3 linked regions of the Macaca mulatta genome follow. The protein of the gene in region 1 interacts with the protein of each later gene in a biochemical or structural test. Links are inferred from orthologs where the notes say so. Each region holds a gene or a part of one and is shown in the gene's direction. Other genes may lie near its edges.

The links.
Region 2: the proteins of PJA1 (region 1) and NSMCE3 form a complex in vitro, tested with the Homo sapiens proteins (2 studies listed by BioGRID). The link is inferred for Macaca mulatta from reciprocal best matches to the Homo sapiens genes PJA1 and NSMCE3.
Region 3: the proteins of PJA1 (region 1) and MAGED1 form a complex in vitro, tested with the Homo sapiens proteins (2 studies listed by BioGRID, with this or other methods). The link is inferred for Macaca mulatta from reciprocal best matches to the Homo sapiens genes PJA1 and MAGED1.

The regions. Positions count from the first base shown.
Region 1 is NC_133426.1:75,668,929-75,674,123, reverse strand, and holds the start of PJA1 (E3 ubiquitin-protein ligase Praja-1), read left to right. Parts: upstream 1-2,001; 5' UTR 2,002-2,124; intron 2,125-4,352; exon of another isoform or gene 4,353-4,358; 5' UTR 4,359-4,419; coding exon 4,420-5,195. UniProt on the Homo sapiens protein: Has E2-dependent E3 ubiquitin-protein ligase activity. Ubiquitinates MAGED1 antigen leading to its subsequent degradation by proteasome. May be involved in protein sorting.
Region 2 is NC_133412.1:9,160,732-9,165,313, forward strand, and holds NSMCE3 (non-structural maintenance of chromosomes element 3 homolog), read left to right. Parts: upstream 1-1,867; 5' UTR 1,868-1,961; coding exon 1,962-2,861; 3' UTR 2,862-3,469; downstream 3,470-4,582. UniProt on the Homo sapiens protein: Component of the SMC5-SMC6 complex, a complex involved in repair of DNA double-strand breaks by homologous recombination. The complex may promote sister chromatid homologous recombination by recruiting the SMC1-SMC3 cohesin complex to double-strand breaks.
Region 3 is NC_133426.1:51,752,553-51,757,821, forward strand, and holds the start of MAGED1 (melanoma-associated antigen D1), read left to right. Parts: upstream 1-1,856; 5' UTR 1,857-1,867; coding exon 1,868-1,912; intron 1,913-5,269. UniProt on the Homo sapiens protein: Involved in the apoptotic response after nerve growth factor (NGF) binding in neuronal cells. Inhibits cell cycle progression, and facilitates NGFR-mediated apoptosis. May act as a regulator of the function of DLX family members.

The DNA.
Region 1 (5,195 bases):
TATACTTGCCTTATTTCCTTTCTTCTTCTTTTTCTCTTTCTTTCTTTCTTTCTTTCTTTCTTTCTTTCTTTCTTTCTTTCTTTTTTTTTTGAGACGGGGTCTGAGTCTATTTTCTAGGCTGGATTGCAGTGGCGCAATCTTAGCTCACTGCAGCCTCAACCTCCTGGGCTCAAGTGATTCTCCCACCTCAGCCTCCCAAGTGGCTGGGACTATAAGCATGTGCCATTGTGCCAAGGAAATTTTTACATTTTTTTGCAGAGATGGGGTTTCACCATATTGTCCAGGCTGGTCTGAAACTCCTGGGCTCAAGCAATCCTCCTGCCTTGGTCTCCCAAAGTGCTGTGATTACAGGTGTCAGCCACCATGTCTGTACATGAGCCACCAAGCAACATGTTTAAGTAAATTTAAGCAATTTATTTGTTGAGGAGAATTAAAGTGGTTTGCATTATCTTGCTACACTCCTATTCACATATCTGTCTCCACTTGTGTGTCTCAATAGAACACACAACAGAGAAGTTGACTAGAAGTAGAATTGCTAGATGAAAATGTATCTCAAAAAAAAAAAAAGAAAGAAAATGTATCTCCATTTAAAAAATTGATAGCTTCAGATTTCTCGCCAATGAAGTTCAATTATTATTATCATTATTATTATCATCATTATTTTGAGACAGCATCTTGCTTGGTTGTCCAGGCTGGAGTGCAGTGGCGTGATCTCCACTCACTTCAGTCTCAACCTCCTGGGCTCACACAATCCTCCTGCCTCAGCCTCCTAAGTAGTTGGGACTACAGGCACACACCATCAGCTTGTCGTATCTTTCTGAGTGAATAAAACAACCTGTTTTGTTCTCTTTAGTGCTTTTTACTCTGAGTTCTCGATGTTTAGGATATTGATGTTGTTACGAGTTTCTTTCCTCCTTCCTTTTCTTTCTTTCTTTTTTTTTTTTTTTTTGCTTCTTTCTTTCCCTCATTCCCTCCCTCCCTTCCTTTTTTTCTGCTAGTATTTTACTGTCATATATATATTTTTTCTATTTCTGCTTTAGGTGAAACTCACAGAAATAGTATATAACTTGACTTTTAAAAACAAAATCCTCAAAATAAGAGTTTGGTTTTTATTAGGAGATGTTAACCCATAATGCATGCTGATATATTTAGATTCCTGCGTTTTTGTTTACTTTTTGCATCCTTTTTTTTGCACACCCCCAGCAACATTTCTTGACCTTTGTTCAGAATGAGTTTTTCTCTTTGTTCCACATATTATTACTTTAATGGTTTGAAAGTTATACATTCTATTTCTATTATGTTGCTACCCCTAAGATTTTTGTTCTCTTGTGCATTTTGTTTCCAGTAAGAACAAAACTTTGCTACTGTTGTGAACATAGGAAATGTTTACATTGGCTGTAAATATTAGAGTTCCATTATAAAGCGCAATTTAAAGACTTCAGAATTCAGTAAAATGGTATAAATCCAAAAGGCATAACTGTAATATGTTTTAACTGCAATGCAATACCAGAATATGAACCTGTGTTGTGTCTTATGATCTCTTGAATAGAGAAGCTTGGTTTTGTGATTAGCAGCAACAAATTCAACACTAAACAGCTTCAGTTTGCTTTAACAATAAGGTTAAAAAAATTTAAGCTTACTGCAACCCTAAATATAGTTTCACAGGTTTAATACTTTCGGTACAACCATAACACGTAACATAGGATGTGATGTAGTAACGTAATTACTCTCACATTGGACTTAATCAGAAAGAATTTGCAGATTTTATTTTATTAAAAAAAAAACACAGAAGGGAATATAGCTAAATATTTAACATTAGTTAAAGCTGGGTGTTCGTGACATTTTTCGCTGTCCTTTGCTGTATCCTTGACGATTTCATCATTTAAGATGAAATAATGCTTTCGGGCCCACCCTGATTTGTGGAGAGCAGCTGCCGCCCCCGCCACATCAAGGGGGCGGGCTCCAGCTGACTTCACAATCACTTCCGCCGCCGCAGTCGCCACCCGCCCCGCTGCTGTCTGGCGGGGGAGGAGCTCGAGACCGGGAGCAGCGGCTCTGGCGGTCGTGGCGGTCGGAGGTCCGAGAGCTCTGCTTCTCTGAAAAGCGTGTGGCTTTCTGGACTTGGTGAGTGAAAGGCTGATTGTTTCCTCGATTCATCCGGGCGCTGGCGGTGGCGCGAGTGGTCGGGCGCAGTGCGAGTGGCCGGGCACGGGGACGAGGATTTTGCGGGGTTCCTGGGAACTGCTTTTCAGGTTCGCCCCTCGGGAAGGGGTGGGGCGGACGCGGGACCTGACTGCAGAGTGAGGCCCATGTTCTACATCGGCCTGTTCTGGGGCCGCATCCTCCGCTGCCGGGAACCCCTTTCGTGTGGCGCGGTCCCCACTCGAGTGGCTTTCATCGCTATTGGGAGGGTAGTGGTGGTCGCGGCCCTCTCCCACTTCTCCCTGCCTCTCCTCCCCTCTCCTTCCTTCTTCCCTCCTCGGCCCCTTTGCGGAGCACTCCGTGGCCTTTCTTCCCATATTTTGCTGTTGTTTTGCCAAATGGTAAATGGTTAAGATTTTTAGGTAAAAATACTGTTCCCAGGGAAAAAATTGTAAGGAGGAAAAAATAATTATTCTCAGGGAAAACTAGACCCACGCACGCCCTTTTCTTTCATTTTGCCTCTTCCCTGCTACATCGGTTTGGGTCTCCCGTTTGAGCTGATGGCCTTTTCCCACCTCTTATTATGACATTGCGTACCCCCTACCCCACACCCCTCCGTGTCTCGCGAGCACGCGCCCCCGCAGAGAAGCTTTCCATTGCAGCCCCCTCCTTGCCCCTCCATCCTCAAGGTTCCAGTGCGTCTTCTCTCCCGCGCATGCGCAGGCACACGCAGCACACACCCTCTCACACACCCTCCACACACCCTCACACCCTCACACCCTCCCATGCCTTCCCCCTCCTCTATCCGCCTACCACATACACACCTCTAGCACCGGCCCCCTCCCTGTTCGGCCTCTGCGTGCTCTCGCGAACACATGCCTATTCACACACCCCCTCAGGCTGCTCTCCTTCTTCCTTCCTGTCATATACACACATAAGGACATCCTTCTATTGCTGGCCAGTGACATGCATATACAGCCACATGTGCTCATTCATACCCCCTCCTCAAATGCTCTCCTCTATTGATCTGCCACGTGTGTCAGACACAGCTCTTTCGCTGGTCCCTGAGGTGCACACACACACTCACATAAATCCTTCTATGGGGACACCACCTGCTTCCCTGCTTGCCATATCCACACAGGCAGGCATCGTTCTTTGATTGCCGGCCTCTGTTCCATCCACCTCAAGCGCATCCGTCTCCAGTGCTGCGCCACTCCCGACCCCCGCTTCCGTTTGTGCCTGCTGCATTTGCTCACACTGACATTTCTCCATTGTTGCCTCCCATTTTGACTAACATACGCACACACAAACTCTCAGACACTCCTCTCCATTGCCAACCATACACTCCCCTGCCTGTGACATACACATAAACATGGGCATCCTTCTGTAGTTTCAGCTGCCACACATACAGCGACACACATAAACACCTTCCCTTTCCTCATACATACACACACCCCTCTCCTCCAAAGCCACCCCACCCATGCCTGTCATTCTCATACCCACATCCAGAATCATTCTAACACTCATACCCTTTCCCCCTACAAACATAAACATCCCTCTGTTGCAGGATTGCTGGTCCCCTTCCACCTGTCCCTCTCCTCTTGATAGACACATAGGCACTTGTGCGCACACAGCGATCTGTATTTTCCACTCTATTCCAATTTGCATTTCTCCTGTATTTTGCAGCACTCAGAAAAAGGCAGGCACCCCATAAAAAGAAAACTACAGCAGTCTTTCCTTTCCCCACATTGGCACAATTCTACAGTACTTCACCCACCTTCCAAGTGTCCGGTCACCCCCCATCTTCCATCAGATTCTCCCCTAAGTCTGGCTTTCCTGCAAACCCAGTCTTGTAATCATTTTGCCAACATTAAAAAATGTGTTCCAGGTCTACACCTGTCACTGGAATGCTACTCCAGGCCTTAGAAGAAAGTGAAACTAAATTTAAAGGCCCCTTATTCTTTCAGTTACCTGCCTGCTGAAGTGAAAATAAATCTCCCTGCTCCTTTATTCTAAACTGATTTTACTTTCCCATCTGAAAAACGTGTGCAGGGAGCAGGAATCTTCCTGCCCCAGCCCCAGCTGTATTGAAAACCCTCCTAAGTCAGAGTGATGGGTCAGGAATCTAGCAAGCCTGTATGGCCCAATCCAACAGGAGGGTATCAGTCCAATACAGGTAGGAGGTATGGAAGAAGGCATGCTTATGTCAGTTTCAGGCCACCCACGAGCCAGCGGGAAAGGATTGCCAGCCAGAGAAAGACGAACTCCAAAGTCCCAATGCACAGATCAGCCTCCAGTCAAACCACCAAGAGGAGCCGATCGCCATTTTCCACTACTCGTCGTAGTTGGGACGACAGCGAGAGTTCGGGAACCAACCTAAATATTGATAATGAGGACTATTCCAGGTATCCGCCAAGAGAGTACAGAGCTTCGGGTAGCAGAAGAGGAATGACCTATGGACATATTGACTCTTATGGGGCAGATGATAGTGAGGAGGAGGGGGCTGGGCCTGTTGAGCGACCGCCAGCGAGAGGAAAAACTGGCAAGTTTAAAGATGATAAGCTGTATGACCCAGAGAAAGGGGCAAGGTCTTTGGCTGGGCCACCTCCACAGTTCTCTAGTTTTAGCCGTGATGTGAGAGAGGAGCGAGACAAGTTAGACCCAGTCCCTGCAGCAAGATGCTCAGCTAGCAGAGCTGACTTCCTGCCACAAAGTAGTGTGGCCTCACAGTCGTCTTCTGCTGAAGGCAAGGTGGCTACAAAAGGTGACAGCTTGGAGAGGGAGAAAAGGGAGCAAAATTTACCTGCATGTCCCAGCAGGGCTCCTGTGAGTATTTGTGGTGGTGGGGAAAACACCTCAAAGAGTGCAGAGGAACCTGTGGTCAGGCCCAAAATCAGAAACCTGGCAAGTCCAAACTGCGTGAAACCCAAAATTTTTTTTGATACTGATGATGATGATGATATGCCACACAGTACTTCCAGGTGGAGGGATACTGCCAATGACAATGAAGGCCACTCAGATGGCCCAGCAAGAAGAGGCAGAGGCGAGAGTTC
Region 2 (4,582 bases), on another chromosome or scaffold:
AGACAGATGTTTTCAGACTTACAAACTGGCATCTCTTCTCCTCTATTTTGAGTAATGACAGTCTGCTGTCTAGGTAAGAGTGCTGCTAGAGGACACTGCTGATTTTCACAGTCATGGGGGTAGCCTGATTGGTGGACTGCTTGGTGACGTAAGTGAATACCTTAGCAAGAAACAGCATTGAAAAACCAGCCCAATTGTTGACAATAGCTTTTATTTAATTTTCCACTTTCCCCTTATATCTTGGTCACCGAACTTTTTTGACTCAAGGTAGACCATCCGCATCCTGTGGTAGGGACCTTTTGCAGAATTCTAGATGGCAGGAAGCTTTTATGAACCTAAGTCCAAATTTTAATTTGCAAGGAAACTGAAGCAGATGAATTTTCTCATTGTAAAAAAATGAATACCTTGATAATATATTTGTTTTTCGTAGTAGGCCTTTGTCATTAAGCTTGATGCCTGAGGATATAGTTGTATCTTGTGTGGAACAGTAAGTTATTACTCACTGCGTATCAGATTTTAGCATACTTGCATTAGTTCATGGAATATGATTTTACATTTACTATAGCAGTTCCAGTGCCATTATCAGATTGCATTTTCCTACTGAATTACAAACAAATGTGTTATGCTACTAACATTTAACAAAATTTTAATAAGGTTGTGTTTGATGCTATTATTCAGATAATGTGTTCTAAATTGCTTTCCTTTGAATATATTTGCATTAAAGAGGAACTCGATTTGGTTCTTTGAAGAGTTTATCCACTTTCTGGGTAGCTTTAAAAAGACACAGGGAAATTCAGTTTCTTCTTTGCAAGTCAATAAATAGAGAAGAAACAAATTTGCTAAGATCTATAGAAGTAATGGCAGCAGATTGCTGATGGTTTGAGTTAATGAAATGACTCATTTTGGCTACTTGAGTTGCACAATTAAAATATACATAGACTGCACACATCATAGATGAGGGATAAATACCCTTGTGTTCTCTTTTCTTTCTCAAAGCTAATATATTATGAATTAAGAAATTTAAGAGATCCACATTATTGCAATTCTTGATCAGTGATGCCCAAAATTAAGTGGTAATCTCTTGAGAGTGCACGTTTGCAGCATTCCTCTTACGCATTTCTGCTAAAATTGTGGCTGTGAGCCGAAGACAGTTGTTTTCCAAAGGATAAACTCATTTGACCAAGCTAAAACATTTACTTAATATTGACAAGTTTTGTGGGGTTTTCTCATAGTTGTCTAGCTAAAGGAGTTTAATGCAGAGAATACACATACGGAAATAGTGAAACCGAAGTCCTGCTTGCGCGGAAAGCCTGCAGCAGACTTTTGTTTTTAACAAACTCCACGGGGCATTAGAGAAAGTAACTGGGGGCAGTGGGTTGGAGGGTATAAAATTGAGCGGAGGGACGAAAACTAAGAGCCCTCTGGGTTTTTTATATCCTTCTACATGTTGTGTAGAAATAAATGCTTTTACTTCCACGGTCGTACCTTCCTCTTCACCTTTTTTTTTTCTTTCTCACACATTCATCCTGTGAGATCTTTTCATTTACAAATGCTCCCGATTTAGAATTAGAAACTCATAATACCGTCTGTAAAACTTGCCTGAGCCTGTCTGGTCCTGAATTTAGCGACACACTTGTTTAGGAGTTTCGGTTCTCGTTCTCTGCTTGCATGGTTTAGTAAGAACAACACTTCGATATACTGAAATTCACCGACCAGACCTGCAGGGCTGCACAGAAATATCTGATGCTTTTGGTACCCCCAGCCCCGCAGCCGCGCAGGCGCACCGCCCAGCCGCCGTGACGCAAGGCGCAGGCTTCATGACGCGGCACGCAGTCTCAGCCGACACTGCGCGCCCCTTCTGGGGCCCCGCCCAGGCAGCGGCCTTAGCGGGTCGCCGACCCACGATCCCAGCCGCGGCTGCTTGCTTGCCGGAGTGTGCACCGGTACGCGTCGCCGGTGACATGTTGCAAAAACCGAGGAACCGGGGTCGCTCTGGCGGCCAGGCCGAGAGGGACAGCGACTGGAGCCGTGGCGGAAACTCCGGGGCCTCGCGGGCGGGCGAACACGCCCGGGCCCGCAGAGACGGCTTCGCAGAGGAGGCCCCGAGCACTTCCCGGGGGCCGGGCGGCTCGCAGGGGTCGCAGGGCGCCCGCCGGTCCCAGGCCTCCCCCGCCGTGGGCCCCAGGACCCAGAAGCAGCAGGAGCTGAAAGTGTCCGAGCTGGTGCAGTTCTTACTGATTAAGGACCAGAAGAAGATTCCGATCAAGCGGGCCGACATACTGAAGCACGTCATCGGGGACTACAAGGACATCTTCCCCGACCTCCTCAAACGGGCCGCCGAGCGCCTCCAGTACGTCTTCGGTTATAAGCTGGTGGAACTTGAACCCAAGAGCAACACTTATATCCTCATCAACACCCTGGAGCCGGTGGAGGAGGATGCCGAGGTGAGGGGTGACCAAGGCACGCCCACTACGGGCCTCCTGATGATCGTCCTGGGGCTCATCTTTATGAAGGGCAACACCGTCAAGGAGACTGAAGTCTGGGACTTTCTGCGGCGCTTAGGGGTCTACCCCACCAAGAAGCATTTCATTTTCGGAGATCCAAAGAAACTCATTACCGAGGACTTTGTGCGACAACGTTACCTGGAATACCGGCGGATACCCCACACCGACCCCGTGGACTACGAGTTCCAGTGGGGCCCGCGAACCAACCTGGAAACCAGCAAGATGAAAGTTCTTAAGTTTGTGGCCAAAGTCCATAATCAAGACCCCAAGGACTGGCCAGCGCAGTACTGTGAGGCGTTGGCAGATGAGGAGAACAGGGCCAGACCTCAGCCCAGTGGCTCAGCCCCATCCTCTTGAAATCTGAGGTGGATTCAGAGGGACCCCCGGGACAAGGGTCTGAGACCCAAAGGCACAGTGCAGAGGAGCGGGGGAAGGGAGAACGAACCCAGGAAGCGTATTTCTGTAGCGTTTCAATGTGTGTAGCTTTAGGATGTGTTTGCAAAGTTTTGTTCTTTTAATGTTGTGTTATTTGGTTCCAGATTTTCATCTATAAACAAAAGAGCATTTGTTTTGCTTTGATTTTACTTTTTTTGGTATAAAAAATTTTCCTAGCTTAGTAAAACGAATTGGAAAACTTGACTATGATCTGAAACAGATATGCCAGAAGGAACACATAAGTAAGTTGCTTTGGTGCCAAGAAAATAAAAAAGTAGCTATTATCGGGTCTCTTAAGCATCCCAGTTTGTAAGGAAAAATAAAAGTCTTTATAAAATTAAAAATAAAAACGTAATTGCCTATATCCTTATTACCTTAACCTATTTTATTTTTTCTATATTTCCTACATATGTAAGTATTATTCATGGTTCCAAGCAATGAACGTGGTGTATTTTCTCCAAATAGCAATTGTTTATATTCATAATTACTCAGCTGTGTTGCTAAACATGCAGTTCCACTTAGTTTTTTTTACATGCTACTCTAGTTATTACAATAAATACTGTATTTTTGAAGCACTGAAGCATTGTGTGTGTTTTAAATCGTGGGCCATGAGACAATTTCATGACGAAATCAGCGTCTTAAAGTTTTTGCAACATATTGAGGTCAATGTTGTTTTGTAGAAGTTGTTTTACTTTTGTGTGTGTGTGTACAGGATCATGAGGTAAAATATATTTCTACTGTGGATACCAAAAAGGCTTATAAAACAATAGCGTAACCATTAACCATGCCTGCTTGGGAATCAGACTGCCTGGGTTCAGATCCTGGCCCCACCGTCACTAGTATAGGAATTTACGTAGGTTCCTTAGTTTGTATGCAGATGTTTCTTGACCTGTAAAATGGGTTTAGTCCCTGATGTGGAGGAATTTGCTTGTTATTCTTTAATGTTTTTATTTTTTATTCTCGGTCTGGAGCTGCCACTTTTTAAATACAACTTTTCTTTATCTTGTTTTCCAAATGATTCCTAGGAGAGCAATTACTGGTTCAAAAGGTATATTCCACTAGTCTGACTCTATTGTATGGGGAAATAAGTATAAAGTGTATGGTGAGTATAGCCCACATAGAACAGTGAGAGCAGGACATAAGATCAACCTCATAGGGAGTTAGGTATAGGGAAAAGGTGTGGGTCTTGGGGCTGTCTGGCAAACTGAATTTGAATTACGGCTCATGCTAACTTGTCAGCATGGTGATATGGTGGTAGGTTTTAAGCTGTCTGAATCTCAGTTTCTTTACCTGTAAAATGAAAAAAATTATAGCTATATAATAGTTTGTTTTATGGACTAGATGAACTAGAAGAGTTCATAGTCCCATTGTATTCCTCCATTACATGTAGCAGATGCTGTTTTTAATGCAGAGATTCAACACGTTTTATTCAGTGGGTAAATAAGTATAATTGTTTTAGGGGGAGGTGCTGCAAATTAACCTTGAAATAAGGCAGATATTTTTCACTCGGGGGGGGAAAAAGTGAACTTCATCAACACTGGACTGAATGTCATTTAAAAGAGTCTATAGTGAGTATGGAGGAATGTGATAGGTTGCTGGGTTTTATTTCATTCTGTTGAATTGGGATTTGCCTTTGTTTCATC
Region 3 (5,269 bases), about 24 Mb from region 1:
TTTTCCTCACCTGCTAAAACCTCTGCAGCCCTACTTCTGCAAGCCTTCACTCTTCAGGAATTACTAGGAAGTTCTACTCATACTGGGAGCCAAATGGGATATCAGGGAGATGGGTAGGAGAATCAGCAGTACTACTAGGGATATAGCACTGGAAGATAGGTTCTTAGCGTCTCAGTGTTAGCCCTCTTTTGTTAATTTCTCATAAAAGCACATTGTTTTATTAGTGGTCTTTATAACAGTATTGGAAAATTTCAGCACCAACATAGGTCAAACAATCTTATGTAGTCCAACGTAAGTACCTAATTACCATTTACGACATTTTCTTTTTTTAAATGGAAAACTGTTTTGGAATGTAATTTTCTTATAAATGGTAGTTTGGGGCTACATTTAATTCGTGAAAGTTAGTAAGAAAGTAGAAGAAGAATAAAAGTTTGAGTTGACAAATCCCATATGTGAATCCTTTGAGATGTTTATTAAACTAAGGTGTTATATTGTGGTTAGATTTCAGGAGGTAAAAAGTGGTAGAAATTACTTTATTTCGTTTTTCTTTTTTTCTTTTTTTCTTTTTGAAACGGAGTCTCACTCTGTCGCCCAGGCTGGAGTGCAGTGGCCGGATCTCAGCTCACTGCAAGCTCCGCCTCCCGGGTTCACACCATTCTCCTGCCTCAGCCTCCCGAGTAGCTGGGACTACAGGCGCCCGCCGCATCGCCCGGCTAGTTTTTTGTCGTTTTTTTTTTTTTTTTTTTCTACAGGAATAAAATAGTGGAATTGTTCTCTGATACCATAAGTCAGTCAACCAATCTCTCCCACCCCACACACATACATTTAATTTTTTTCTATATTCCTCGAATGTGAGGTACCTTTAATTTCTTAAAAAATCTCAGTAAGTGTGCTGTTGCTGAATCAGTTTTTTTACATTAAGTACTACAGGGTTTCATCTGTCATTACTTTTTATGCTAACCATTTTGTAACTTTTATCTGAATAATTAAATACTTGTAACTAAATTATGTTTGAAGATTCTTAATCTATATAGGAGAAAACTTGTTTTATTAAATTTCATTTATTAGTGTTATTCATATTAGTAAAGTGTCTACTTTTTCTCTGTGGTTGTCAGAAGCTGGAGAACACCAAGTAATTTAAGATTTATTTGATTTGAGACTTTACCATAGTCAGGATATTTAAAGATATTTAACTAGGGGCACTATATGTATTAAAAGCTGACTTCCACTTTATAAAATTACAAAATATTAAAACATGCAGAAAAGTGTAAATAATAATAAAACAATGAACACTTTTGCATTTATTGCCTAACTCAATACATTTAGAAAATCGCAATGCAATTGAAGTCCCCTCTATGAACCCCCAATCACATCCTACTCCTTTTTCTCTACATGTTGCCATTATCTTCAATTCAGTATTTATCATTCCTTTGCATTTCTTTTGATTTTCCTACTTATATAAATATCACTTGAAATATATGAAATTATTTTGCTTTTTTGAACATTATTTATATGGCAGAAATGTATGCATTCTTCTACAAACCTGCTTTTTTATTGTTCATCATGGTATTTGTCAGGCTCATTAATGAATATAAAACTCATGCATCTATTTATAATCTCGTATAAAATCATAATTAAAAGTCTCACTCCATTTTTAATGTTTGACTGCTGACAGCTTTGAAGTCTTATCTCTCCCTGTTCTCCCTCTGTCCCACATCTGAGCAAGATAAGAAAGCCATGATGCAGTGTTCTTTACCACCAGTGTAAAGTTCAAACCACAGGTGAGAATCCTCACCCCAGCCCCACCCCCAACCACCATAAAAACCCAAGCCAGTGTTCTCTCCTTGCTTTATAAAGCCATGTTTGGATGTGTCTGAGAGCCACCCCTGCTCTCTGCAGAAAACCTCATTATGTGAGTAATCAGCTTTTTTATGAATGTTGGTGTGTGTTTGTTTGGTATCATTGGTGTTGACATTCAAACCAAATTTTGAACTGGTGTCCATCCCGTCTTTGTGGAGTATTCAAAAAATTATTTCAGTGTTCTTTTGTTAATGGATATTAGGTTGTTTCCTTTTTTTTTATAGTTGAAAACAATGGTTCTATGGATACTTTTTGTTTTTTCTTATTGATTTGTAGAAGTTACATTTATATTCTGGATATGGATTCCTTGTTAGTGTTGCAAATATCTGCTCTCAGTCCGTAGTTAGTCTTTTTACCTTAACGGTTTCTTTTGTAGTACAGAGGTGATGAATTTTGATATAAATTTTGATCAAATCTACCAGTCTTTTTATTTATGATTGATCTTTGTATCTTTAAGAAATATTTCTCTGATTTGGAGGTTATAAAAATGCTCTTCTAAATGTTCTAAAACCTTTAAAGTTGATTTTTCCCATTTAGGACTTTGATCTATTTATTTTTTGTTGTATAAGTTACTTCTTTTCTTGTAATGTCTTTGTCTGGTTTTTGTATCAGGACCATACTGGCCTCATAGAATGAGTTAGGAAGTATTTGCTATTCTTTAATTTTCTGGAAAAGTTTGTGTAGTACTGGTATTATTTCTTTTTAAAATGTTGGTAGAATTTGCTAGCGAAGTCATCTGACTCTTTAAAATTTCCTTGTGGGAAGGTTATACAGATGCTCCTTGATTTACAATGGGATTAAATCCCGATAAACCTGTTTAAGTTGAAAATACTGTAAGTTGAAAATGCATTTAATACACTTATCCTAGCAAACATTGTAGCTTAGCTTAGCCTACCTTAAACATGCTCAGAACACTTAATATCAGCCTACAGTTGGGCAAAATCATCTAACACGGAGCTTCTTTTATAATAAAATGTTGAATAGCTCATATAACTTATTGAATACTGTGCTGAAAGTGAAAAGCAGAATGGCTGTATTGGTGCTCAAAGTTTATTTTTTATGGAATGTATATCGCTTTTGCGCCATTGTAAAGTTGAAAGAGCATAAGTTGAACCATCATAAGTTGGGGATTGTACTAATTTAGTTTATTTGTTTCTTTGTTATTAATGTGTCTTTTTGTTTTTCCTGCATTGTTTCCAGAGTTTTTAAAAAAATCTCTTAATCAGATTGATTGTGATGAGCCTTGTAGTTTCCTTCATGTTTCTTTTGCACCAAATATGTTGATATTTTTTGATTTGGGGGTTAAAATTATCACTAAAATAATGGCAAAACCCACAATTAATAGTAACATATGAAGAAACAGTGGCTAAGAATTTTAGCTGCCTTCCTCTCCCGAGAATCATCTCCTTACCTCAGGGGATCTGCCGGGTGAAAAGTATTAATACTCCTCTCATCTTCTTTGGGGACTTTAATTACCTGTGTATTAAGTTGCTTGCCATTGTTCAACAGTCCACTGATATTCTTCATACTTCAAAAAAATTCTTTTCTGTCGGTTTCATTTTGGATGATTCTTATTTCCATTGTTTTCAAATTCTTTAATCTTTCCTTTTCCATAGTTTAATATGTCATTTATCCAATTTGGCGTATTTTTAAGCTCAGATATTATTATTTACATCTCTAAAATTTTAATTTGGGCGTCTTTGTTATAGTTTTCCATGCCTCTACTTAACTTTGTAAATGAATAGATTATGTCATAACTTTTTAAATGTCCGTGTCTGGTAACTCTAACATCTGCATCAATTGTTGGTTGGTTTCAATTTATTGATTTTTTTAAAAAAATAATTTCAAGCTTCTTTGCATTGCTGGTGATGTTTGTTTACATTCAAGCCTTGTGGATTTTACCTTGTTGGATGCTAGATATTTTTATATAACTAAAAATTTCTTGAGCTTTATTCTGGAATATGATGAAACTACATGGAAACAGTTTGATCCTTTTATGTCTTGCTTTTAAGATTGATTAGGTGGAACCAGGGTGGTGCTCAGTCTATGGAAAATTATTCCTTGCTGGCTGTTGGTAACAGGTGCTGTTCCTGTCCCAGTGTAAGTGATGAAAAGTGTTCTTTCTAGTGATTTCAAATGGTTCTCTCCCCTGCCTTGGGTAGTTTCCTCTATATACACTAATGTATACTCTGTTGAATACTCAATGGACCCTTTACAAATCTCAGGAGTTCTTTTTCTGCACTGTTTCCCCATTCTGCTAACTATTACCTGCAGATTTTAGCTGCCTTCTCACTGGACTCTGAGTGTTGTCTTCTTACCTCAGGGGATCTGCCAGGTTCTGTCTCAGTTATTACCCTTGCCTGTGGCATAATCTGAAAATTCTCTCAGGGAAGTATGCTGGGGCATTTATAGGGTCACCTTGTTTCTTTACCATTTCTCAAGGATTATTGGCCCTCACTACCTGATATCTATTGTTCTGAAAACAATTTACTTTTTAATTTTTCAACTAGTTGGGTAAATGGTCTCTGTCATTCCATCTTGCCCAGAAGTACAAGTTCAGCTGAGAGTTTAGAAAGGGTTAAGATTCTCATAAGTTTTTTATGTAGGGAATCTTATCAACTCTAAATATTAATAGTTTCCTTTATTCATTTCTAATCCTTACTCTCTTCTGCCTTCTCCTTTTCCTCCTTCCTCCTACTTCCTCCCGCACCTCTGGATAGGGTCTTCAGTATAATGAATGAAAGGGATGATAGCAGTGATTCCTGACTCCCATTATTAAAGGGGGAACACATTTCTAATGTCATTATTTGTTTTTTACAATGAAGACTTTGTGCTCTTCTTTCACATCAGTTTACAAGTGCTGTTTGACAAGAATTTCCTGTAAGCCCTTAAGATATTGAGTAACAGTTTAGTGCTTAAAAACTGTCAAGCAACATTTATCGTATGCCATCTTTCAAAGTACTTACCTGTATTAATGCATGAGAGGCCCAAAACAAACATAAGAGGTAGGTACTGTTATTATCCCCACTTTACATATGAGAGACAATGAGGTTAAATACATTTCCTAAGGTTGCACATAATATATGGTGAGGCTGAGATTCGAGTCTAAGAAACCTGGCACTTAGAGCCCAGGCTTCTTCTGCACTGTACTTCTCTGCTCGTAACTAATATGAGAGTATTAAATGCAATTGTCAGTCGGTTCATTTAAATGACCACAAAGACATTTCTAGCACTTAGTGTTCACATTTCAATTATTTATGCTAGCTAAGTAACCATTATCAACAAAAGTTACAAACAGTAGATATTTCACTATAGGAAAAGATGGGATTAAAATTGTAGCCCTCTTAGCAGGTTGGTTTTGAGGAATTTAATTTACTAGATTAAAGTTACGTGATTCCTGCTATCCCGT